Linked DNA regions of Sus scrofa. The protein of the gene in region 5 purifies or fractionates together with the protein of the main gene of each other region. This does not show direct contact. Links are inferred from orthologs where the notes say so. Each region holds a gene or a part of one and is shown on either strand. Other genes may lie near its edges. The genes, in order: AFTPH, ACBD5, WDR44, OSBPL9, VAPB, ARHGEF12 and OSBPL11.

Evidence for each region.
Region 1: the proteins of VAPB (region 5) and AFTPH purify together in Homo sapiens (affinity purification with mass spectrometry; 3 studies listed by BioGRID and IntAct, counting the BioPlex papers as one, with this or other methods). This does not show direct contact. The link is inferred for Sus scrofa from reciprocal best matches to the Homo sapiens genes VAPB and AFTPH.
Region 2: the proteins of VAPB (region 5) and ACBD5 purify together in Homo sapiens (affinity purification with mass spectrometry; 4 studies listed by BioGRID and IntAct, counting the BioPlex papers as one, with this or other methods). This does not show direct contact. The link is inferred for Sus scrofa from reciprocal best matches to the Homo sapiens genes VAPB and ACBD5.
Region 3: the proteins of VAPB (region 5) and WDR44 purify together in Homo sapiens (affinity purification with mass spectrometry; 4 studies listed by BioGRID and IntAct, counting the BioPlex papers as one, with this or other methods). This does not show direct contact. The link is inferred for Sus scrofa from reciprocal best matches to the Homo sapiens genes VAPB and WDR44.
Region 4: the proteins of VAPB (region 5) and OSBPL9 purify together in Homo sapiens (affinity purification with mass spectrometry; 7 studies listed by BioGRID and IntAct, counting the BioPlex papers as one, with this or other methods). This does not show direct contact. The link is inferred for Sus scrofa from reciprocal best matches to the Homo sapiens genes VAPB and OSBPL9.
Region 6: the proteins of VAPB (region 5) and ARHGEF12 purify together in Homo sapiens (affinity purification with mass spectrometry; 3 studies listed by BioGRID and IntAct, counting the BioPlex papers as one, with this or other methods). This does not show direct contact. The link is inferred for Sus scrofa from reciprocal best matches to the Homo sapiens genes VAPB and ARHGEF12.
Region 7: the proteins of VAPB (region 5) and OSBPL11 purify together in Homo sapiens (affinity purification with mass spectrometry; 4 studies listed by BioGRID and IntAct, counting the BioPlex papers as one, with this or other methods). This does not show direct contact. The link is inferred for Sus scrofa from reciprocal best matches to the Homo sapiens genes VAPB and OSBPL11.

Annotation. Positions count from the first base shown.
Region 1 is NC_010445.4:77,351,372-77,354,113, reverse strand, and holds the end of AFTPH (aftiphilin), read left to right. Parts: intron 1-1,104; coding exon 1,105-1,252; 3' UTR 1,253-2,242; downstream 2,243-2,742. UniProt on the Homo sapiens protein: Component of clathrin-coated vesicles.
Region 2 is NC_010452.4:48,911,281-48,914,780, forward strand, and holds part of ACBD5 (acyl-CoA-binding domain-containing protein 5), read right to left. Parts: coding exon 3,460-3,500; intron 283-3,459; coding exon 168-282; intron 68-167; coding exon 35-67; intron 1-34. UniProt on the Homo sapiens protein: Acyl-CoA binding protein which acts as the peroxisome receptor for pexophagy but is dispensable for aggrephagy and nonselective autophagy. Binds medium- and long-chain acyl-CoA esters.
Region 3 is NC_010461.5:96,984,788-96,988,287, forward strand, and holds part of WDR44 (WD repeat-containing protein 44), read left to right. Parts: intron 1-999; coding exon 1,000-1,636; intron 1,637-2,107; coding exon 2,108-2,238; intron 2,239-3,356; coding exon 3,357-3,452; intron 3,453-3,500. UniProt on the Homo sapiens protein: Downstream effector for Rab11 which regulates Rab11 intracellular membrane trafficking functions such as endocytic recycling, intracellular ciliogenesis and protein export.
Region 4 is NC_010448.4:160,412,882-160,416,381, reverse strand, and holds part of OSBPL9 (oxysterol-binding protein-related protein 9), read left to right. Parts: intron 1-662; coding exon 663-767; intron 768-3,033; coding exon 3,034-3,193; intron 3,194-3,500. UniProt on the Homo sapiens protein: Interacts with OSBPL11 to function as lipid transfer proteins.
Region 5 is NC_010459.5:58,594,364-58,598,335, forward strand, and holds the start of VAPB (vesicle-associated membrane protein-associated protein B), read left to right. Parts: upstream 1-1,172; 5' UTR 1,173-3,972. UniProt on the Homo sapiens protein: Endoplasmic reticulum (ER)-anchored protein that mediates the formation of contact sites between the ER and endosomes via interaction with FFAT motif-containing proteins such as STARD3 or WDR44.
Region 6 is NC_010451.4:47,474,960-47,478,930, forward strand, and holds the start of ARHGEF12 (rho guanine nucleotide exchange factor 12), read left to right. Parts: upstream 1-1,171; 5' UTR 1,172-1,861; coding exon 1,862-1,893; intron 1,894-3,971. UniProt on the Homo sapiens protein: May play a role in the regulation of RhoA GTPase by guanine nucleotide-binding alpha-12 (GNA12) and alpha-13 (GNA13). Acts as guanine nucleotide exchange factor (GEF) for RhoA GTPase and may act as GTPase-activating protein (GAP) for GNA12 and GNA13.
Region 7 is NC_010455.5:134,742,351-134,745,850, forward strand, and holds part of OSBPL11 (oxysterol-binding protein-related protein 11), read left to right. Parts: intron 1-1,907; coding exon 1,908-2,083; intron 2,084-2,958; coding exon 2,959-3,038; intron 3,039-3,500. UniProt on the Homo sapiens protein: Plays a role in regulating ADIPOQ and FABP4 levels in differentiating adipocytes and is also involved in regulation of adipocyte triglyceride storage. Weakly binds 25-hydroxycholesterol. Interacts with OSBPL9 to function as lipid transfer proteins.

The DNA.
Region 1 (2,742 bases), on a different chromosome or scaffold from region 5:
GAATGGATGTGTTCTTACGTATAACTGAATCACTTTGATGTACAGCAGAAATTATCGTGACATTGCAAATCAACTATATTTCAATAAAACTTTTTTTAAAAATAAAAATAAAAGCCTGCATCTATGTTTCCTCTCTTGTTTCATCTCCTGAGTTCCTGCTGCTCATCCTAAAGGACAAAGAATATTTAGGTGGAAGAAATAACTTGGGTCACACCTAACAGATTACCAGCTATCCTTTACCATGAAAGGGAAATTGAGCCTTTTAGAGTCAACGATTTTAAATGAACTTTGGTCTAAAATTAATACCTATGACTGCAGCTATTCTTTCAGTGTACTTAACACCTGGAAAAAATAAAGATTGGATTACAGTTAGGTACCCAATTTGAGCCACATTTGAGGCTCAGTTGGCATTTTCTGTGGCTCACCTGCCGTGCTCAGCCCCACACTGCCCACTTGTTACCTTAGGGGCACTTCATCTACAGGACCCATTGGATTTTGAGATGTCTCCTCTTCCTGAGTCCTTCCTGCCTGTGTACATTCTCTGCATCAGCAGCTGGCCCTCGTGTTGGCCCCTCGGAACCTGCCAGCTGCACCCCGGTGGGGCAGAGGCTGAGTATTTTTGAGCTGAGGGCTTTCTGTCCTGGAATTCCCCTTTAGGGATGAAGAAAGCCTGAGGTTAAAATGACTTACAAGATCTTGTGCTAGACGCATGTTGAGGTAACTTTGGTAGTTTCTTGGGGTAGAGCAGGGGGAAATCCAGTTGGGCGGAGTGTTCCTAAGTCTTCGCGTTATGTCTCTGCTTAGTACCATTTTAAAAGTGCACCTGGGTAGATGCTTCTAACCTTAAGCAGCTGTGAGCTGTACACAGCTGTATGCGAATGTCTCTATATACAAGCCCAACTAAATTAAATGAATTAAATTTGGTGTGAATCTTCGTAAGAAATTTGGCCTCTAGCACAGGAAGCACTCGAGGTCAGGAACTGGCGGAGGAAAAGGTAGTCAGGTCCCCACCATGGCTCCCTACCCTGGGAGTAGATTTTTATCCCATTTGGCTTACAGCAAAGTCACGTGAACACCCTTCCTTTTTTTTTCATTTGTCAACAGGAAACCGAAAAGAGAAGAGCACCTGAGTGAGGAAGCCATCAAGGTGATCGCCAGCCTTCCCGACCTGACGTTCATGCATGCCAAGGTGTTGATGTTCCCCGCCACCTTGACACCTTCCACAGGCTCCCAAGAGAAGGCAGACGGATAACTGGTGTGAAGTGGACACTATCAGTTGCTTTCCCTTCTCTCCACCCTTCCCTACCATCAAAAGCATACCTGCTCTAATTAAAAAAAAAAAAGAAACTCAAGTTCAGCTGATTTGTTGGTAAGCCGCACTAGAAAGGTATACATAGTAATGTATATTTATTTACATACTGAAGTCGTAAATTTATATTAGAAACAAATGTAAATAATCGGGGGTGAACATTTTTGAAGATTTATTCTTTTTGTGTTGCTGGGGTGTATACATTTATGTCTTTGTGAAATACACTGGTGGTGTCCTTCTTACAAAACTTTTGAAATAAAAAAAAGAAAATTAAAAACTCAAATCTCCACTGTCTGAAATCCCTTTCAGTTTTTTCAGATTGCATTGACTGTCCTATTAATTTTTCATATCCTATGTTGAATTACTTTTGCTATCATAAATAAGCTCTATGTCCCCATTTCATTTTTTTTTTTAAATTTATGTGTGGTGGGTTTGTTTCAGATCTGGCTTTTGTTACCATTTTTTGTGCTCTTTTTTAATCTTTTCAATCTGGCCTTCTGCTCTTTGACCTTTTGCAAGGTACTTCATCGACTGCTCTCTTGTTATAGGTTATGGATCATTGTCAGAATTTGATTGGAGGGGTTTAACGAGATTGTGTCTGTTTTAAATCAGTTTGGTTTTGAGAAGGACCAAATTATATGAATGTCTTACAATGAAATTTACTTGTTACTGATTTTTTTTTGTTCTACCATACCACTATTTTTTGAGGATTTTGCACAGTGTAAAATGACATAATCATAGATTGCTATGGTTTAGGCTGTATATACAGTAAAAACTATGGGTTTTAAATGTTTGGGGAAATTCCTATGGAAAAAAGAGAGAGACATGTAGAAGAACCTCTAACAAGGTTAATGTGCATGCCCAAGGTCTTTTGAGATTTCAGTGTGTAAATTTCCTTTTAGCTTACACAAAAATAAAATACTTTAAAAGAAATTTAGCCTGGCGTCTGTACTTTGGTATCTGAGGGAAAAGGTAACGAATTTGGACATTAAGTTTTATTTCCTCCTAATGAGTTTCAATCCAGAGAAAATGATTTGGTAGGGCTTCCATTCCACTGTATTAAAACTAAGAAGAATTAGAATCTCACCCATAAGAATTGGAATCAATCCTTTTAGTAGCTGAACTATTTTTTATGTAGAACATGAGATCATACAAGAAATTCCCATGACTCATTATAATGTATCTTCATCAGAATTGGCCAAGTTGGTTAAGAGATTTGTAGGGATTTTTTTTTTCTTCCCAAAAAATATATGCATGAAATTAAAGTGAGCAGAAAATTTCTTAAAAGTAATTTTTAAATATTAGGTTAGATACTGCTTCAGCAAAAAGTCACATGATATATATATTTCATTAGATGAGGCAGTCAGCCCACAGCAGTCTCCCTCATCAGCCATGGGAATGATCCATTGGAACTCTTTTGCACTTCTGTCATT
Region 2 (3,500 bases), on a different chromosome or scaffold from region 5:
AACAAAAGTTTTCCATAGATTTCATCATTCCTACCTTCTAAGCATTTAGAGATTTTCTCCAGCCGGACTAGCATGTGAAAGTAAAAAAAAAAAAATTTGACATATAAATATTAATGCGTGAGTAATGTATCTGTTGCTGAATTTAAAACTAAGTAAAAGAGTCCAACCTGAAGTTAAATCAGAATTTCTGCCACTCTTTTTGTCCTCTACAATTTCATAAAATGGACCAATGACATGTAGCAATTCTTCAACTTTTTCAGTCATCGGCATAGTTTCAAGAATCTGTAATCAAAAGAAACAAAACTTGTGAAAACAAGCTACTAATGTAATCCTTGCTAGCACCAAATAATATAATATTTATAATTTATTTATTGATAACTGAGATCTGAAGTTCTTTTATAGACTCTTCAAAGTCAATTATATACTTAACGTATATACTCTCCTGTAAGAATTTCAAATGTATTAAAGGTTTTAAAGTGTTTTCATTTTGAAAACTATTTTACATAAGCTTTGTGTAAAATTTTACACAATAGTCTATAGATGATGCATTAAACACTTAAAAGTACTAATGTTAAATAAAACAGAATACTGTGGGCTTAGAGGAAAATTTGTGTCTGTTCTTAACACCAAGGTAATGTTTTCAAAAAGGTATTGAAGGGAGTTCTCTTGTGGTGCAGGGTTAAGGACCCGGCATTGTCACTACAGTGGCTTGGGTCACTGCTGTGGTGTGGGTTTGATCCCTGGCCCAGGAACTTTCATGTTGCAGGTGTGGCCAAAAAAGAAAGGGGGGAGTTCCTGTTGTGGCTCAGTGGTTAATGAACCCATTAGCATCCATGAGGATGCAGGTTCAATCCCTGGCCTCACTCAATGGGTTACGGATCCAGCATTGCCATGAGCTGTGGTGTAAACTGCAGACACAGCTTGGATCCCACATTGCTGTGGCTTTGGCGTAGGCCAGCAGCTACAGCTCCAATTCAACCCCTAGCCTGGGAACCTCCATATGCCAAGGGTGTAGCCCTAAAAAGAAAAAAAGAAGGGGGGATACTTAACTAGGAAGTGGTAACCACTCTCAGAAACCTTCATAACTAGGGGCCAATTTAGAATCATCATGTTTAAACAACAAGGTAAATTAAATGAAAAACATTCAAATAAATAGCCATCAACTGGTGACTGACGAAATAAAGTGAAGTATTTCTATATATGGACAACTTTGCAGATATTAAAAATACTATGTTTAGCTCTGTATGTGCTGAGTGGAAAAATACCTATAATATTTCTTTCTTTTATGGCCACACCTGCAGCATATGCAAGTTCCCAGACTAGGGGTTGAATGGGAGCTGCAGCTGCCAGCCTATGCCACGGCCACAGCAACACCAGATCCAAGCCACATCTGTGACCTACGCCACAGCCTGCAGTAGGCCAGATCCTTAACCCTCTGAGCAAGGCCAGGGATCAATCCCGCATCCTCATGGAGACAACATAGGGTCCTTAACCTGCTGAGTCACAGTGGAAACTTCCCATAAATTTTTCCACAGGCAAAAAGCTACTTGCCACACAGTAAGTTTAATATGACATCATTATTAGTTTTCTTTCTTTTTAAAATAATAGAAGATATATATGTATGTATATATACTCTAAAATATGGATATATATTTTTTTCTGAATCACTCCACAAAATATAATTAAAAGTAATTACCACTAAAGAGTTAAAATGCAGGAAATAGGGAAAGATTATAACAATATTGAAGGTAAAAAAAAAAAGAATGTTATCAAAACAAAGTTTTACATCTTTCTCTGTTTTTGAAAGGCTCCTTTGTTTTGCTACTGATACAGCAAAAACAGCCGAAAGAATTAAGCTCTGCCCTCTATTCCAAACAAAGTCCACTAAACAAAAATTGTGAAAATGTAACAAAGGGCACAACTTTGACCTGTGTAGAAGAGATTAAAACAAAATAAATTAGTCTGAATCTACCAAATAAAAATTACTATAGAGGTTAATATTGTTAAAGCATCTGGCAAAAAACTACCCTTTTTTACAGGTTTTCTTTTTGTTGAAAGACAATTTATTTAAGATTATCGTAAAACAAAAAGCAGAGTTCCCATCATGGCTCAGTGGTTAACAAATCCAACTAGGAACCATGAGGTTGCAGGTTCGATCCCTGGCCTTGCTCAGTGGGTTAAGGATCTGGCGTTACCGTGAGCTGAGTGTAGGTCGCAGACACGGTTCAGACCCCACGTTGCTGTGGCTCTGGCCTAGGCTGGTAGCCACAGCTTTGATTCGACCCCTAGCCTGGGAACTTCCATGTGCCATGGGAGCAGCCCTAGAAAAGGCAAAAATACAAAAAAAAGAGAAAAAAAGAAAAAAAAAAAAACAAAAAGCAAAAAAGGAGTTCCTGCTGTGACACAGTGGCTCAGGTTGCTGACAGTGGGTTAAAGTATACTGAGTTGCTGCAGTTGCAGTGTAAATTGGCTTCAATCCCTAGCCAGGGGAACTTCCATTTGCCACGGGAAAAAAAAAAAAAAAAAAAAAAAGGATTATCAAACAGATCTAGATTTCATAACTTCTGATCCTTCACCAACATACATATCGTCCTTTATACAAAGGCACTAAGATCATCTTTAAAAATCCATGATTTCTTCATCAATTTGCTCCTCTAAACAATTCTTTTAACAGAAGTGCTAGTTTATAAAGAATGCCCTCGTTAGTAGTTACAAGAGAAACTAAAAGCATCCTTATTCTGCTTCTGAAGGATCTTTGCATTCACAGAAAAATGCTTGCAGAAGCCCTAGCACAGGAACATCTCAATTTATGAGGCAACACTTGTATGAGAACAATGTTGGGCAGCCTTGTTACCCATTTCTCATAGATGAAAAGTTTCAAAGCAGAAATGTTTTTGAGACAGCTCAAGTACTTCCCAGACTCCTAAGGGACCTCAACATTTTAAAAGATTCCTATTGGGAGTTTCCATTGTGTCTCAGTTTCCTGACTAGTATCCATAAGGATGTGGAATTGATCCCTGGCCTTGTTCAGTAGGCTAAGGATCTGGTGTTCCTGTGAGCTGTGGCATTGACTGGGGCCGGCAGCTTGGATTTGACCCCTAGCCTGGGAACCTCGATATGCCACAGGTGCAGCCCTAAAAAGCAAAAAAAAAAAAAAAAAAAGTTCTACTAATATACTTTCTGCAGAAGTCACCTATAGAGAAAGGGAAGACAAAAAAAATATAAACCGAAGTATCATGTCACCACAATGTGATATAACTTAAGGAAAAAATATCTACCTTAAGATAAACTTTGATGAGAAAGATAAAGCCTAATAAACTCAATATTTATCTATATTCTATATTCTAACATGTTACAATCTCCTTGTTCCTTAAAACAAAGCAGCTCATTTGCCTGATAACAAAATTAAATAAAGCTGTTCTGAAAATTTTTATTTTCTTTGCTAATTATTTTCCCTACCTTCTTCATTTCTTCAACATATGCAATCATGGCTTCCTCTT
Region 3 (3,500 bases), on a different chromosome or scaffold from region 5:
CTGACAAAAGTGAGGTAGATCTTGGGTAAAAATTTGAAGATTGAGAAAAACTGATATATGGAATACACTGGGAAAGCAGGGAAGACTGTTACTGAGAAGCGTAATATCCAGTTCAACTTGGCATGCGTTTGTGATAAACCAGATCAGGATAGCTCCATGACACATTCTATTAACTTTCTGGAGCCAAAGAATTGAGAAACCAGAAGTCATCCATGGCTCCATGGTGAAAAGAGAAGTGGGCTTGGAGATTTAATAATAACAGGACTAGGTCAAAAATATATTTTTTTTCTAAATGCTGGCGGAAGACACAGAAAACCTCTCTGTGTTTTTCAGCTATAGATAAGAAATAAAAAGGAAAAAGGCAAGGTGAGTTGGGATTTGGACTCTTCATGGTCCTGCCATCTCTCTGCATAGCAGGGAATTAGCTGTTTAAGAACATTTATTTCCCTGCACCTGCTGGCTCTTTATGTCAGGCTTGAATTCAGAGCTGAACAACTTGAATTCGTGTGCAAGGTGGTTTTGACCTCATACTTTTGTTGACTAGGATCAAATCAGCAGGCTGTTGCTGCAGCTAACGTGGCATAAGTTTGTAAATGAACTATGGCATGAAGTATCTGAATGTAAATTCAGGTTTAAACTTTCTTCTAAAGGGTTGATTGAACTTTTGTGATTCCACATACTAAGACAGATTCCCTATCATAGTGGTTAAGAGTATAGTTTCTGGAACCAAACTCCCTGTGTTCATGCCAGCCTTATCACTTCCTAGCTTTGTGACCTTGGACAAATCACTTGATCCCTTTGTACCTTAGTTCCCTCATTTGTATAATGATGATAGTAAAAAAACCCACTATTTTGCAAGATTGTGGTAAAGACTAAAATACATAAAGTGTTAAGAACATTGTATGGCACATAGTAAGTACTATATAAATGATTGGCTGTTATTATGTTCTTGTAAAGAGCTTCACTGGTTTTTAAAACTGCTTTTTAACCTTTTATCAGATTATCGAAAGTATTATTGAAGAGAGTCAGAAAGTACTACAGCTTGAAGATGACTCTCTGGATTCCAGAGGAAAAGGACACTCTGATCAGGCTACTGCCAATCCTGTCGTGGCTGAAACAGATCTTAGCAATATACCTGTACTGTTAGCCATAGATCAAGTACTACAGGAAGGTTCCCAAAAGGCAGAAAGTCAAGATGTATCTGAAGAAACTGAAATAGAATCACAAAAGTGTTTTCCTTCTGATGATACATGTGAGAAGCCAGTAGATGAAACCACTAAGTTAACTGAAATAAGTTCAGCTGAACAGCTTAATGTGCCTGAAACTGAAACGGAAATGTTGAACAAGGAAGCAGTGGAAGTCAAAGAAAGCGATGTTCTAGAACCCGCATCCTCACACTCCTTATCTACTAAAGATTTTGCTGTTGTGGAAGAAGTTGCTCCTGCCAAACCCCCAAGACAGCTTACTCCAGAACCTGATATAGTAGCTAGTACAAAGAAACCTGTTCCAGCACGTCCACCCCCTCCAACCAATTTCCCACCTCCTAGACCCCCACCTCCATCTCGACCTGCTCCACCACCAAGAAAAAAGAAAAGCGAATTGGAGTTTGAAGCTCTTAAGACACCTGACCTAGATGGCAAGTATTAATTGAGAAATTAATGTTTTTGGGGGAAGGTTTTGCTGTTGAAACTGTTTAACTTTCTGGGTTGTTTTTTTTTTTTTCCAGTTTATGCTATATCTAACCACATTGATAACCAAATAAAACTTATTTTAGTAATAAAAAGTCAAAATGTTTACATTGGTGTTAAGTTACCTTACTGTAATTAAACATTTCAGCAGACTTTCAAATCTGTTACCAATCGAGAGCCAGTGTGGCGTAGTGAAAAGAACATAGGATTTGGAGACTTAAGATTTGAATTCAAGTCCTAGATCTCTTCGGATGTAAGCTGTATAGCCTTGAGGAATTTAAATAACTTATTTGAACCCTGGTTTCCCCATATATAAAACAAGAGTAATAAAATCACTTTCCTCGTAGGATTATTCTAAGAATCAGACAAATGTTAAAACTTTTCAAGCTATATAAATGTTGTTATTATTATTATTGCAGTTCCCAAAGAGAATATTACACCTGATACTCTCCTAACTACAAGTCTGGCTTCAGAGAGTACAGTCAAAGATTCTCAGCCTTCTCTTGATTTGGCAAGTGCTACCAGTGGAGATAAAATAGTTACTGCCCAGGTTGGTGAATTCATGATATATTTTATATAGGCTTTCTCAACTTCCTGCAACTGGCTGGTTTGTTTATTACTGAACCTTCTTTCTTCTCCAGGCCAAATATTTCCTTGTCTCTAAAAAACCTGACTACCTTACATCCCTTGTCCAGCTCTGCTACCAAGTAGTGGGCTGATTCTCGCAAGCTGTTTTACATCTGAACCTGAGATGTCCCGTTGATAAGATGTGGGGGAAACCTTCCTTAAAGATTTCTTGCAAGATCGAAATTTGCTGAAGTATGCCAAGTACCTGGCATGTAGTAGGCATTCAAAAAATGACAGATGCTACTATATGTAATATTTCTTAATAAATACCAATTACAGTCTTCATTTACCTGACCTATAGTGGTGAAAATTAGGGGCTTTTATTTTTTTATAATTTGCTTTCCCTAATCATGAAAAAAAAAAAAGCTTCATACACTAGGCTGTGTATCCTTATATGAGGCAATAGAAGGGACTTGGTAACATGAATTTTTACCACCACCAAATTTTGGGACTCAGGGGTTACTTATGTGTTAGCTGTGGTTGCGGCAAGTTAGCAGACTGGAAACTAAGACACAATAGTCTTGTCAAAGCCTTAGCAGTGGCCTGATTTTTGTAGGGTCCCCATACTAAGAATGGTCTTTATGTTTTTAAAGATTTGTGGTTTTTTTTTTTTTTTAAAAGACTAGACAACAGACACTGTATGTGATGTAAAAAGCCTAAATAAAATATTTATTATCTGGCTCTACAGAAAAAGTTTGCTGACCCCTGCCCTTAAGATAATCACGTGTATAGCCCTGATTAATGACAGTCTTAGTGCTGGCATTCTACTAGTAGAGAACTGCTTTTGGGCCAAGTTCAAATGGAACATTTATTTGCTTTCAAAACTACTAAAATGTTATTTCATGAGCAGCAATGCTTTTGGTACCTAATGTTTTTCAGCATGCTGGGAATAATCAAGGACTGAAATGGAGTGTTCCATTTAAATTTTCAGTAGGCACCATTATCTGTATTACGGATATTATACTATGTGCGGTAAGGAATAATAGAATATTTATAGAAATTGACTCTGTGTCCTTTCTGTTTATAAAATTATAATTTCAGGAAAATGGAAAAGCACCTGACGGGCAGACAATAGCAGGTGAAGTGATGGGTCCTCAGAGACCCAGGTCCAACTCTGGGAGAGAGCTTACTGACGAGGTATAATTAGATTTTTTGTTGTTGTTCTTGAAAATGTAAAGGTCATAA
Region 4 (3,500 bases), on a different chromosome or scaffold from region 5:
CCTTAGGAGAATAAGCTTAATAATCTCTCATGAGACTAAAGAGGAAGTACTGTGCCCCATTTTAGATTTTACATGTGGCTTGGAAACATGCATGATAAACTGCTTGGAAACAGTTTATCATCAGAAGCATTTGCTGATTTTACAGAGCAGTTATACTGAGGTATTGGCATGTCTTGACTAGTCTCTTGATATCTTGCCTCTAGTGTCTTAGTACTAGGTAGCATATCGTTGAGCTCAAAGGGTATAGGAGGTCAGAAAGGAGTAGTGGAACTTGACTTAATGGAATATAATCTCAAAAATTATTATCTTTAGGGAGTTCCCATCGTGGCACAGCAGAAACGAATCTGACTAGGAACCATGAGATTGTGGGTTCAGTCCCTGGCCTCACTCAGTAGGTTAAGGATCTGGTGTTGCCATGAGCTGTGGTGTAGGTCACACTTGTGGCTTGGATCTGGCATTGCTGTGGCTCTGGCGTAGGCCAGTGGCTACAGCTCTGGTTGGACACCTAGCCTGGGAACTTCCATATGCCATGGGTGCGGCCCTAAAAAGACAAAAAAGACAAAAAAATTATTCTCTTTAGAATTTTGAATCCCACACAGTTGCAGTTAAAGAGTTGTGTTTGACTTTTTCTCTAACTTACTTCACGTGTTCATATCTTCTAGAACCTGCTCAGTTATGTAAATCAGAGCAGCGTCCATCTTCCCTACCAGTTGGACCTGTGTTAGCTACCTTGGGACATCATCAGACTCCAACACCAAATAGTACAGGTACAGACTTGTAAGATTCCTTCCCTTCTTATAACTGCCTGCTAACATTTAAAATTTGGTTTGCTTACTGATGGCAAAAAGATTGAAGAAAGGTTGAATGCTCAAGTTGGAGATACCATAGTCTTACCATTGTAATTACATTCATGAACTGGTTAACTTTGTGATTGAACCAGAAGCTTTAGTTATAGTTAAAATTTAAATGAAATAAAGTATCGCAGAGTTGTCTGTATTTGCTTACCTTCAGATTTATTTTGAGGATCTATATTGGCTTTTTAAAAAAATTTGCTCTTTAGACTTACACGCTTTCTTACTATAAAGCAATCAAACAATACAGAAGTATGAGAACAAAAGCTGTAAGTCTTCTTTGCTCATCTCTGTTGTTTGCATGCATGTATGTACATACATATCTATATTGTATATTTCTGTTGTCATGAGATCATGTGGTTCTGGGACTTTCTGTTTTCATTTAACTAAGAACATTTAGAGAGTTGTCTGTGCTCATGGAGTCTGCAGCATTCTTTTCATAGCTGCTCAAGTAGCTATTACCTGTTTTCCTCCTGATGGACTTTTAGGTTGATTCCAGTATTTTCCTATTGTAAATATCCGTACTTCAGGGAACATCCTTGTACAGTAACTTTTGGCACATACATTTTTTTTTTTTTTTTGTCTTTTTTGTCTTTTTGCCATTTCTTGGGCCACTCCCGTGGCATATGGAGGTTCCCAGGCTAGGGGTCTAATTGGAGCTGTAGCCACCAGCCTACGCTAGAGCCACAGCAACTCAAGATCTGAGCCCTGTCTGGGACCTACACCACAGATCATGGCAACGCCGGATCGTTAACCCACTGAGCAAGGGCAAGGATCGAACCCGCAACCTCATGGTTCCTAGTCAGATTCGTTAACCACTGCGCCACGATGGGAACTCCCACATATGTATTTTTTAAGGATAGATTTATCAGTCATGTTTTGCCAGTTTTATAGGCAAAAAAAAAAAGATCATTTCAATTTGCATTTTCTTGATTTATCAGACTTATGGTTTATATTTTTCTGTTTTTTTTTTCTAATTAACAGGGATGCTAACATTGTTTGCATAGATATTTATTTCTTGTTTTAAAACCAATTTGGTTACCAGTAGAACCAAACTCAAGGGAGCACTTAGTGCTTTCATCCCTGTTACATGTGGAGGCCAAACAAAACCCCTGTGGAGGAGGTGGGAGATAAGCCCCTGCTTTTGCTCTGCAAGTTCTTTCCTGGGAGGGACTTTGCTGTGTAATAATGAAAAGTTACTGTGATTTTTTCGCCCGTTGTGAAATTTACACCAGTAAAAGTGCTGATATTATTGCTTTGGTTTTTAATATTTAACAGCCTGAGCAGATGTTTTCTTAATTTTGAAAGAAAGCAAGCAACGACAGTTCTCATTTGAAGCTTTTGGGAAAATACTGATAAGCAGTTTGAATAATGAGGTTGAAATGTTTGGCTGACTTTTTTCTGTATTTCATTACATGGTGTCATTTTAAAGACGGTATCCGTGTTTTCTTTTTTTTTTTGTTGTTGTTGTTGTTATTGTTGCTATCTCTTGGTTCTTGGGCCGCTCCCGCGGCATATGGAGGTTCCCAGGCTAGGGGTTGAATCGGAGCTGTAGCCACCGGCCTACGCCAGAGCCACAGCAACGCGGGATCCGAGCCGTGTCTGCAACCTACACCACAGCTCACGGCAACGCCGGATCGTTAACCCACTGAGCAAGGGCAGGGACCGAACCCGCAACCTCATGGTTCCTAGTCGGATTCGTTAACCACTGCGCCACGACGGGAACTCCCGTGTTTTCTTTTTTATATAAGGAGGAATTATGTCAGAATTTTGAAACAGCCAAAATGTGTCCATTTGGACAAATCATGTTCATGTGATTTTTGATAGTCTTTCCATTATGTACTGTTGGCTTACTGCTGCATTTTTTAGGTATCTGCATAAGAGCTCTGGCTTCCCATTGGTAGTGGTGTCTGTTATGGGACTTCCACACCCTTAACTTACACACTGTGATTATTAGTGCCATGGGGACATGGCATTTTTTCATTTATTTTAAAAGGCTGTGTCTGAGTGGATGATGTGATTTGCCTTTTTCTTTGTCTAGTTTAAATGTTGGTTTTCTTTACAATTAGTGTAGAGACTTCCACCAACTTAAATATTTCTTCATTTTAGAAAGGTCTGCTTTGACCCCATCTCCCTTTATTACCAACATTGTCCCCTAATTGAAAACTTTTTAACTTCCTAGGCAGTGGACACTCACCACCTAGTAGCAGTCTAACTTCTCCAAGCCATGTCAACTTGTCTCCAAACACAGTTCCAGAGTTCTCTTATTCTAGCAGTGAAGACGAATTCTATGACGCTGATGAATTCCATCAAAGTGGCTCATCCCCAAAGCACTTAATAGAGTAAGTAGGTGAACTACCTATGAATTGGAATGATTCTCCTGATTTTTAAAAATGTAATTTGATTTTGAGACATGACAGCTTATTTATTTATTTATTTAGCTTTTTAGGGCTGCACCCATGGCATATAGAGGTTCCCAGGCTAGGGGGCCAATTGGAGCTCTAGCCACTGGCCTATGCCACAGCCACAGCAATGCTAGATCCGAACTGCATCTGCGACCTACACCACAGCTCATGGCAATGCCAGACTGTCAACCCACTGAGTGAGGCCAGGGATTGAAGCTGCAACCCCATGGTTCCTAGTCAGATT
Region 5 (3,972 bases):
AGCAAGCAGTAATTGGTACCTTACTAAATTTATATTTATTGTTTACCATACGTCACAGTGCCTAGCACACATCATTCACCAATAAACATTATGTTTATAATAAGAATAAATAGTGTTTTCATCATTATTCAGTCTCTAAGTGCCTGGCACCGCACAAACAAGGGAAAGTGGAAGTTCATTCTTATTAATTATTATTATTGAGTAAAGCACTTAACACAAAGCCAGGCCCCCAAGGACGTTCAGTAAATAGTCTCCCCCGCGACGGCCCAAGACTCCCGGCGTCCCGGACCCGCCCCTCCCCGGGACTGCGCGGCGCCCCGCCCCCTGCCGCCCGGCAGCCCCGCCCCCACGGCCAGCGCTGCGCTTGCGCACTGCCCGGCAGGGGCTCCGCGCGCGCTCAGCTCCCCACAGCCCGAGCGCGCGCCCGGGCCGAGCAGGCCAGCCTGCTGCGTGCGTGCGTGCGTGCGTGCGTGCGTCGCTGCGTGCGTCGCTGCGTGCGTGCGTGCCGTGCGCTCGCCGGGCACCGCGGCCTCGCCCTCGCCCTCCGCCCCTGCGCCTGCACCGCGTAGGCCGCCCCCCGCGCGCACCCCGTCGGCGACCCCCGCCCGCGCCCCGGCCGGCCCCCCCTTTTCCAAATTTAAAGGGGGCGCAGCCTTAACGCTTCTCGCCCCAGGTGACCTCTCAGGGGTCTCCCCGCCTGAGGTGCCCCGCTGCCGAGGAACATGGCGAAGGTGGAGCAGGTCCTGAGCCTCGAGCCGCAGCACGAGCTCAAATTCCGAGGTAAGCCCGGAGGCCCGCCATCTTCGGCCGCGGGCCGGGCCCGCCGCCCCGCACCCCCTCCCGCGCTCCGGAGGGCCTGGCGGCGCGGCCGTGACGTCGGCCCCCGGCCCGCGGCCCCCGCCCGCTCCCCCCCGACGGCGCGCCCGCCCCGCGCCCCCGGGCCGCCAGGCGTCCGTGCGCGGGAGTCCAGGGCCTGCTCCTCCACAGCCTCCCTGCGCCTCGCCCTCGAGACACTCGCACAGTTGCCAGTGTAACTGTTCCTGTCCAGTGTGCGGCCTCCGCCCTGGTGTGGGCGCCTTCGCCGAGAAGGTTTTTCGCCTGCTCGGGGCATAGGTCAGCTGTCACCTGCCCAGGGAGGACGCCTGCAGCCGGTCCCCGTCGCATGTGTTCGTGGGCAGGTCGGCTCTTGCCACGACCTGGAAGGACCGTTTCCGCGCTTGTTTACCCTGCTGGTACACTAGAAGGGAAACTCCATGAGGACAGGACCGTGTCACGTCTCCGCTTCCTGCCCCGCACGTCCTAGGGGCCTAATAAATACCCGTTGAACAAAAGAGTGGCAGGAGCCTCCGCACACGTTCTGGCGGGACGTGGCCCAGCCTTCCTTGCCCTGCCGTCCTCATGCCCGCGGCTCACGTCTGTGCAGCGAGGGGGGCCTCGCAGGGCGGCGAGATCTTTTATCTTCCCAGAGGAAGCCCAGGGGGCCACGCGTGTTTGTGGCAAGCCAGAGCCCCTTGTAACGTCTGTCTTTATTTTCCGTCTTACCGCCCCGTCTTCTCCACCAAAATGAAAGTGCCAGGAGTCTCTTGTCTGGGACCTCATCTGACTTACCCAGTGCCATCTTTTCAAGTGCCTTGAGTAACGTAAGCTTGGCACTGGAGGGGGAGGAATGAGCCAGAGGGACAAGTTCCCCGATCTCATGCTGCGTACCTTCTAGTGAGGGGGACACACGAGCGCGCAAGCCTGGTTCAGGGAGTGGCACGTGCCGCGAAGGACCTGAAACCAGCCGGCCCTGACGAGCATCTGCTTAGACTGGACGCCCAGGGCCCTGCTGTATTGCCAGCACTTGGCTTACTGTAGGCGCTCAGTAGATGTTTGTGGAGTCGCACTGCATTCTGGCCACATGCACCCCACTTTAAATTATACTGGCAGGAAGTAGCCTAGGGTAACTTACCCAAACTTAACCCAGTTAGCACACATTTGAGCTCAGACTTCAGAGCTCACCCTCCTTAGCAGTTCTGCTGTCCCACCTCTGGGAGCTGTTCCAGTCCTGTGGCTTTACATTGCCTCCCAGGTTAACAGTCTGAAGTGACCCTAAATGTATAAACAGCTGAAGGGTGTCCAGTTAAAACCAAAACAGACCCCCTCAAAGACCTAAGGTGGATGGATTATAATTCCGCGAGAGAACTGGAGTTTGCGTGCTGTCCCGCTGGCCTGCTCCTCCAGGGTCCGGGCTGGGAGTGGAATCCCCGGATGGTGCTGACCATGAAGGGGATGGTTTGCACGTGAGGTGTCCGACGTTCTCTACCCCGCAAGCCTGGCTTCGCCGCTCCTGGGCAGCAGCACATTCCTTCATTTAGTCCGTAGACGTGTGCTGCTCCAGGTGTCAGGTACGAGGAGGCGAGTCACATCACAGGTGTGCCTCTCCACGCCCCCTTAGGTCCTGCAGAATCAGCCAGGACGGGCGAGGGTCTGAGGGAATTCAGAGTGCTCCGGGAGCCGGGAGGAGTCAGCTCCAGAAAGATGTGTCATTCGAGCTGTGTGTGAAGGTGGAAGGGAAGCAGGCCATGGGCAGGGAGCGTGGCAGCAGAGGGAACTGCATGTACAGTGGCACAGAGGCTGAGTAATGGGGCTCCTTTGGGATGGTAGTTCTGAATGACAGCAGCAATGAGCACTTGCTGGAGGTCACGAGGCCAAGTAGGAGACCAGGCTGGCTTGTGGACAGGAGTCAGGTCTTCTGTGGCCTCTGCCAGAGGCAGCCAGTGTCCACGTTCAAATTATGTTGTCTTCTCAGCCAGTTTTTTGATCCCGGGTAACCTTAATCCCACCCCCAGCATGTAGACTTCCTACAGTGATGTATAGAAAGAGGCACTAATTGGGGACTATTAAAGGTTTTGTCCCAGTTCTTTCACTTGAAGATGTTTGACCTTGGGCTGGCCGCTTCACTCTCCAGAGGAGTATTTGGTCAGCTGGTGTCATCCTTTCAGCTTCTTTACATGAACAGTGTGGTGGAGAAGAGTGATCTCTCTGGCCCAGGGCTGGCCAAAGCCCCTGGATATTTTTGCTAGGGAGGTGGTCCAGGAAAGTTGCAGTGTCAGATTGTTGAAGGCTGTTGGCTTGTGGCTTCAGAAAAGGCACCTGGAGGCATGTATAAACCAGTTTATGCGATTTTTTTGTGGGTTTATTTCTTTTTCTCTTTTCCCTTTATTGGCCATGCCTGTGGCCTATGGAAGTTCTCTGACCAGGGATCAAATCTGAGCCACAGCTGTGACCTGTGCCACAGCTGCAACAACATTGGATCCTTAACCCACTGCACTGCCTCAGAGGCAATGCCAGATCCTTAACCTGCTGTGTCACAGCAGGAACACCTGTTGGTTTGTTTTTAAACTGAGCACTAAGGTAGTGAAATTAGAATAGAGGTTCCGGAGTTTGTGGCACGGTGGAAACAAATCCAACTAGGAACCATGAGGTTGTGGGTTTGATGCCTGGCCTCACTCAGTGGGTTAAGGATCCGGCGTTGCCATGAGCTGTGGTGTAGGTCACAGACACAGCTCAGATCCTGCACTGCTGTGGCTGTGGTGTAGGCCAGCAGCTACAGCTCCAATTAGACCCCTAGCCTGGGAACCCTCTATATGCCGAGGGTGCGGCCCTGAAAAGACACAAACAAACAAACAAAAACAAAGAGGTTCTGTGTCCTGGCTTGCTGTTTCGGGATCATTCATTTCAGGATGAGAACTGGCACATACAGGTTACTCAGGGTGATGAATCTGACTTTGGATGGTTCGCTTAGATGAATCAAACTTGTCAGCTAACTTTGCTTAAGAAGGTAATAGAGGAGTTCCCGTCGTGGCGCAGTGGTTAACGAATCCGACTAGGACCCATGAGGTTGCGGGTTCGGTCCCTGCCCTTGCTCAGTGGGTTAACGATCCGGCGTTGCCGTGAGCTGTGGTGTAGGTTGCAGACGCGGCTCGGATC
Region 6 (3,971 bases), on a different chromosome or scaffold from region 5:
TCTTCAAAGAGAACTGTAAAGCTATTTACTGGATAAATATACTTTGTTTTTTGCTCCCATTTCTTTCCACAACAAGCTTGTTAAGTCGCTGTGGAAAGCACCATGCTTGCTCAATTTGGCAAATAATAACATTTCATTTTGCCAAGGCAGGAGCAGCAGCCTAAAAGCAACACTATACGAAGAAATCCTGGCTCCAGTTCCCAAACTCTGTCGTCTCTCCAGTCCCATACACTTTCGTCCTCCAACCCTCCGTGGGCAGCCAAGACTTGTGCGCGGCGGTCCCTATCCTGGGAGGAGGCCAGCAGGTGCCCCAGGTGAGCGCCCAAGGCCAAAACTTCTCTGTGCTGGGGTTTGTTTCACAAACGATGGAACGGTGTCCGTGCATCCGGACACGAGTTCGCTTCCATCGGCCCAAAGCAGTCTATAGGGTTCTCCGAAAAAAAGAACAAGTATGCTCCCTTTAAAGACTACAAGTTTCCAGGACGAGAGGGTGGGTAATTTCTAAAGAGCTTCTTCTCAATTCCTCTGGATTAGGGACGTGCTCTTTGGCGGTCCCTGGCGAAAACTAGACTACGAAGTACAGATATCCGGCACTCGCGCGTTCCTGGGGACGGCAGTGGGTTGGCGAGTGGGAGTCCCGGGACCAGACCGTCCCCACCTCCCTCCGCTCCGCCGAACTACTTTTTCGTTCCCCCCAACAAGACGCTGGCGGAGGCGTCCGCGCGGGTTGACGCGCAACCGCGGTCGGCAAGCGGGGGCGGCGCGGGCGGCCCCGCGCACCGCGGAGGGATCCCGGGTGAGGCGGCTTCCCGAAGTCAGAGGGGAGGAGGCCAAAAAAGTCGGCGGGGGAGGGGAAGAGTGAGCTCGCTCGCGCTGGACGCTGCCGGGGCCGGGAAGACAGAACCGGAACCGGAACCCGTGCGCGCGCCCGCGGCTGTCGGGCGGCCCCCCACCATCGGCGGCCTCCTCCACCCGCCGCGCGCGCCCCCGTGAGGGCCCCACAACCCGGCGAGCCGGCTCTGCGCTCCGAGTCGCCGCCGTCGCCGCCGCCGGCCTCCGGAGCCGGTACTTCCAGGCCGGGCCGGACGGGAACCTCCGCCCCTCGCGGGAACCGCCGCCTACCGGCGCGTCGGGGAGGAGCCGCTGCTGCCGCCGCCTGTGCTGACCGCGGAAGAGTCGGGGCCTCCGAGGGATGGGTAGCAGCCCGCGGCGCTGAGAAATCAGGTTCCTGTCACCTCCGGCTGCGGGATCCCCTCCCCCGGCTCCCGCACTCGTCCCGGGGCCCGGAGCCTGGTGGGGGCGGCGACGAGGACGAGAGGGGTTCCCCGGCCCGGGGCCATGGAGCCGCGCGCGCCTGGCGCGGGGCGGCCCGAGACGCGGCCGAGACTGTGGCCACGAGCGGCCGGCAGCCCCAGATAGAGAGCGGAGCCCAGCGGGCCGGGCCTGGAGGCGGGGACTTGCAAGCCCCCGAGACCGCGGAGGAGGAACCGACACCCAGCCCCGAGCCGCTCCTGCCCCGGCCCGGGAGTGACTCCCGGGCCCCCTTCCCCAAGGCTCGCCGACTTCTCTCCGTGACGAAGTTTTCTCCTGTGACTTCCCGAGGATCGCTCTCTAGCTCTAGGACTCGCCTTCTGGCGGACTTGATCGGTTTATTTTGGGAGATAACTTGCCTCGCTCCCATCTCCATCCCCTTTCCTTGACCCCTTCCAGTCGGACGTTCTAGATGCCTGAATGGAGTTTTGAGTTGGACTCTTGTGTCCCTTACGGAGTCGGGCCTGATCCCAGAGCGCCGGGGGTGGGGTGGAGGTGTTACTGTAAAATGCAAGTTGGATAAAAGGAGGACCTCTCGCCAAGGGCCCCAATGAGTGGCACACAGTCTACTATCACCGACAGGTTGGTATGAAGCTCACCCTGCGCTTAGCCTCCCTGGTTGGGGCCCGACCTAGCAGGAGAGTCAGTGATTGTCGAGTGCCTTTGCCCAGTGAAGTTGACAGGCATCGCACAGAGGGTTGTTTCGGAGCTCTGCAATTAGCCTGGGGTTGCTGCCAAGTTCCCCGGTTGATTGAATTTAGAAATGTAGGGTTGTTTTGTTTTGTTTTGTTTGTTTTTTTCTGGAGAGAAACTTTTCTCCAGATTCTCGGAGGAGGGGTAGGTAAAGCCATGATTGTGTTTTTCTGTCGGTAGTTTGCATTAGGATTCTGTACGGATCTTGGGACCAGAGGGAGGTCATTTTGGGTGAAGGTCAGCGCCCGAAGTCGGCTGGGGTATTGGTGCATCATCGCTTGTACTTCTCTCGTGTAGTCCTATAGACACTGCTTCAGTTTAGGAATTTTTTTTTGTGAACATTGTGAAGCTGCCGCGTGATTTATGAGTTTGATATCCTTTACCTATTGACTTGCACGGTGTTGATCATCTTAATAATTTTCCAGAATATTGGAATTACTAGTAAATCCTAAGTACCTGGTAGGGGCAGTTATCAAGGAACCATGGGGCTAGATTTTAATTATTGCATTTTTAGTATTTCATCTTCCAGAAACATTTGCATTTAAGGAGTATAAAGCTTAAGCGAATTATGTAGTAAGGCTGGCAGGTGATTTGCTGAGTTGGGTGCGTCCTTTGTAGTATGTACCTAGGTTACTTGGTGGTGGTTGGTGAATTGAACTAGACTATTTGTGGTTTAAGTGGAGTTCCCTTACTCTTTAGTTATTTGGAATATTAGGTTTAACGATAAAAGTATATTCTTTTACTATATTTTGTTTTTCAGTTTAATGATGACATTGCCATAATTATCCAGGTCCCAAGTTTTCAGTCAGCTTTTTTTTTTTTTTTTTTTCTGGGGAGGGGGGTCAACCTTCAAACTAAAAAATAAATGAAGTAAGGGGCTAAAGAAAGCACTTTGATGAATACAACATTAGTGGTGCTCAAAAGGTAGTTTAATTTCATAATAAGAGAGTTTTACCCAATTGTAAGACTCATTTGTTGATTTTAAAAGGGCCAAATTCCATTATCATACCATAACAGATACTCCAAAAACAGAATTTCCTCTTCCTGTTGATGCTTTCCGGTATCACGTGAATGTTCACTTAAAAGAGTCCATTAAATGTTTAAACTATTTTTTGAGTTTTTTTTAATGCATTTTAATTTTCACCTTCTCTGAGAGTACACTTAACATGAATAGCAACAATGCTTATTTTGATATCCTCAAGTTATTCCCATTCCTTTTCCTCTCAGGTTATTTTGCCTCTGAGAAATCATTTTCTTGGGTGTGTGGGTAATTGTTTTTCTGGTTCATTCAATTCTTGCTTTCTCTGTTGAACCTGTAGAAAAGTCTTATTAGGTACTAATGTAGTCCTACTAGTTTTCATTGCAGTAGTAGGAGCGTTTAATTTTGTAGAAACAGAACCTACGGTCACCAATTCATTCTATGTGAAAATCTCCTAAAAGCACCCAAGTAATGACCTTTCTTCATCTTTATTTCTCCAATTTTCTTCCTCTTTCGTTATCTTAGAAATAAGGTCTTGGGGTTTTTATCCTTTCTATAACTTAGATGAGATATAAATATACAATAAGCATGCAGTTAATGCATGTTCTTTGCCAGGTGCTGTGCTGGGCACAAAGGATTAAGAGATGAGTATTCCAAGTATAAGATGAATCTGCAAATTGGTTTGGGTATTAATATCCTTGAATTAGTTCAAGTGCTGCTTGATTGTACATATTTTCAGAGAGGAAACTTTAAACACCACTTAATATGTATTTCTGAGACAGTATGTATTCGTGTTTCTTTGGAATTTACTACTAGTTTGGGGTTTTGTTTTGTTTTTTTTCATAAGAATTGTTCATATGGGAGCATTACTTTTTCTTTAAATATATCTTATTCTGTAAATATCACTCCTCTGTTGGCTCTTAGGAGAGTAGTTGTCCCCGATTTGGATATATGTTGGGGTGAAATCTGAAAGTACTGGTTCAGTATT
Region 7 (3,500 bases), on a different chromosome or scaffold from region 5:
ATGGCAAAAAGACAAAACAAAACAAAACAAATTTATTCCTCACAGTCCTGGAGTTTGGAAGGCCACAATCATGATGCCAGCCTGGCCAAGTAGAGGTCCTCTTTTGGATTGCAGACTTCTCATTGTATTGTCACATGGCCGAAAAGGGGCAGGGGAGCTCTCTTGGGTCTCCTCTAAGGGCACTAATCCCATTCATGAAGGTGTTCCACCCTTGTGACCTGATTGCTTCCTAAAGGACCCATCTCTTACTATCATTATTTTAGGTGTTAAGATTACCACATAAGAATTATGGGAGGGGCACATTCAGATCATAGCAGATTACTAAGTACAGGTCACATGATTTAGAAATTTAAGATGATTTTAGTGGCTGTTTTTGTGTTAATGAATAATCCCTTCAAATCTTAGGGAAAATAATGTTAGTCCTTTTAAAAATAGGCAAAAATGTGAGGGGCAGTTCACTAAGCAGAACTACATATGGTCAATAAGCACATGAATGTTTAACTCCTCTAGTAAAGAATTGGAAGTTTAAAACAAAAATACTAAAATTACTTTTATCAAATGTAATTAGTGTAAGTGAACATAATTTTAAAAATCACGAATGTGCTAAAAGATGAATAAGAAAAACAATAGTCTTTTGCTTTTCCATCTCCCTTTTCAGGCAGCCGCTTCCAACTTTTTTTACTTGCTTCTCATCATTTCTTTTTCTTTCTCAGAATAAAAGGCTGATTCCATTCTCTCCCAGTTTGATATGGTTAAGCTGTTGCTTAAGACAATATCTTCTAGGCACTTGAACTGGATCAAATTGTCTACCTGGTTCTATTACAGAACACACTGACAGGTAGAATGCCAAATTGCCCTAAACCCAAACATTACTTTTTTGAAACAGAAACTTTTTAGTATTTTTTCTAAAGAAAAGAACTATTACACTACTTAAATTGGAATCTGAATTAATATATTTCCTAAAGTAGTTATCTAAAACCGAATCAGAACATCAAATTCTTTTCCAAAGTGTATCAGTATTTCATTATTTAGTTTCAAGTTCCTTATTGCTTCTGCATCTCCTGTTGCAGCTTTTTCATTTTTAAACAGGATGAGTAATCTTTAGTTGTGACCTATTTAATGAATGATACATTTACAAAATCTTTGTACTTTGGCATTATTCTTATTATTTATTCCACTGATTAAATCTTAAATCAGATTCATGTCTTACCTAGCATTTGTTAACCTCAGAGCTCAGGTTTTGATTTGTTTCCAATGAATTTTAAATAAAAATTCTCTCTACCATTTGTCTTTGGGCCACTTACCTTCCCTCCCTGTTAATGAATTCTGGGAGGAAATCTTCCTTTGAAGGAATACTGTATCTTTGTTTCCTTTTTTGCTTTATCTGGTATGCCACTTCCCTGTCAAATGTCTCTTTCTCAGCTCGCAGTTTCATGTCTTTTATGAAACACATTGAATTTTCAGTAACACTTACTGCCAGGAAATTCAGACTAGTAAGTTTCTAAGTACTTCTTGAAATACTTTTGAATTTTTTTTTCTTTTTTCTTTTTAGGGCCACACCCACAGCATATGAAGGTTCCCAGGCTAGGGACTGAATGGGAGCTACAGCCGCCGACCTTTGCCATAGCCACAGTAATGTGCGATCCAAGCTGTGTCCTCGACCTACACCACAGCTCACGGCAACGCTGGATCCCTGACTCACTGAGCGAGGCCAGGGATCAAACCTGGGATCAAACCTGCATCCTCAAGGATACTAATCAGATTCGTTTCTGCTGCGCCCCGAAGGGAACTCCTGAATTTTTTTTTTTTAATAGCTAAACATCCAAAGTTTATGATTAAAATTTGGTTTGCTTTAGTTTGACCAGGGGAAATATTTTAAAATTATGACTTTTTTTCAATCATTACAGGTTTTTTGTTTTAAACAATGAAGCTGGGCTGTTGGAGTACTTTGTGAATGAACAGTCTAGAAATCAGAAACCCAGAGGTACTTTGCAGCTTGCAGGAGCTGTAATCTCACCCAGTGATGAGGACTCTCACACCTTCACTGTAAATGCTGCCAGTGGGGAACAGTATAAACTCAGAGGTATGACTGAGATATGACAATATGAGAATTAATAGTATGATTTTCTTCTTCCCTTGAGAAGTTGGTGTACTTCCCTGCTTTCATTTAGGTTTTGGAAATAGAAACTGCTCTCATTGATGATACAGACACCATATTCTAAACCTTGGAATTGCTGTAAGGATTTATGTAATCTGTTTTAATTAATACTTTTTTTTTAAGTGGCACAGTGCTCGAATCTGTTTAAGATTGGGCCCTCTGAGAAATATGTGTAGGATAAATCCTGATTATTGAGAAATCTAAAAAGACAGACTTCTTAAAATTTTTTTAAAATGTCTTCCACAGAGTTATATTTTACCTCCTTTCCTGATTTAGTTGGTATGCTTTCTTTGTCATTTTTAGTGACTAATGTACATGATTGGGATTTATTAAAATGCTTATATTTATTAAATGAAGTATAACTTCTGTTTAGATAAGTTAAATTTATATAGTTTATGTTTTTATGTAATTAATACACATAATGTATAATGACAATCCTAACTGAGCATGCTGCTAGAGAGCTTAAAGAATGTTTTGAGTACACATCATATGGTTTATACAGGTTATTTCTTTAAAGAAGAGCATATTTTTATGAGAAAGTAAAGACATGTCAATCTTATATACCCACCTAGCTGTGTGTAATTTGTCCTCCATATGAAATATCCACATCCAGCTATGGTGTTACCTAATATGGTTGATACTTTGGCCTCTTTCCATCCTTCCTCTGGTCAGGGACATTTGCTCTAGGGAGAGAAGGACCAATCATTGATTTTCAAGGCTATATTCTTTATGCTGTAGACAATTCATTGTATTCTAAAAATAAATATAAATGTGAATAACTTGTATATACTTTTTATTAGCCACAGATGCTAAAGAGAGACAACACTGGGTTAGCCGACTTCAGATATGTACGCAACACCACACTGAAGCTATTGGCAAGGTATGTGGATTCATATATAATATTAATGTACAAAAATGAGGAAAGTTTTTTGGTGTGGGTTTTCTTTCTTTCTTTCTTTCTTTCTTTTTTTTTTTTTTGGTTGTAACGTGCAGCAGCTTGTTGTGGGATCTCAGTTCCCAGGCCAGGGATCGAACCCAGTGGTAAAAGCACTGAATCCTAATCACTAGACCACCAGGGAAATCCTAGGAAAGGTTTTTAACTTTACTGTTTTTGGAGTTCCTGGCGTGGCTCAGTGAGTTACAAACCCAGCTAGTATCCATGAGTATGTGAGTTTGATCCCTGGCCACACTCAGTGGGTGAAGGATCAGGCATTGCCATGAGCTGTGATGTAGGTTGCAGACGTGGCTCACATCCCGAGTTGCTGTGGCTGTGGTGTAGGCCAACAGCTGCAGCTCTGATTCGACCCCAGCCTGGCAACCTTTTTTTTTTTTTTTTTTTTTT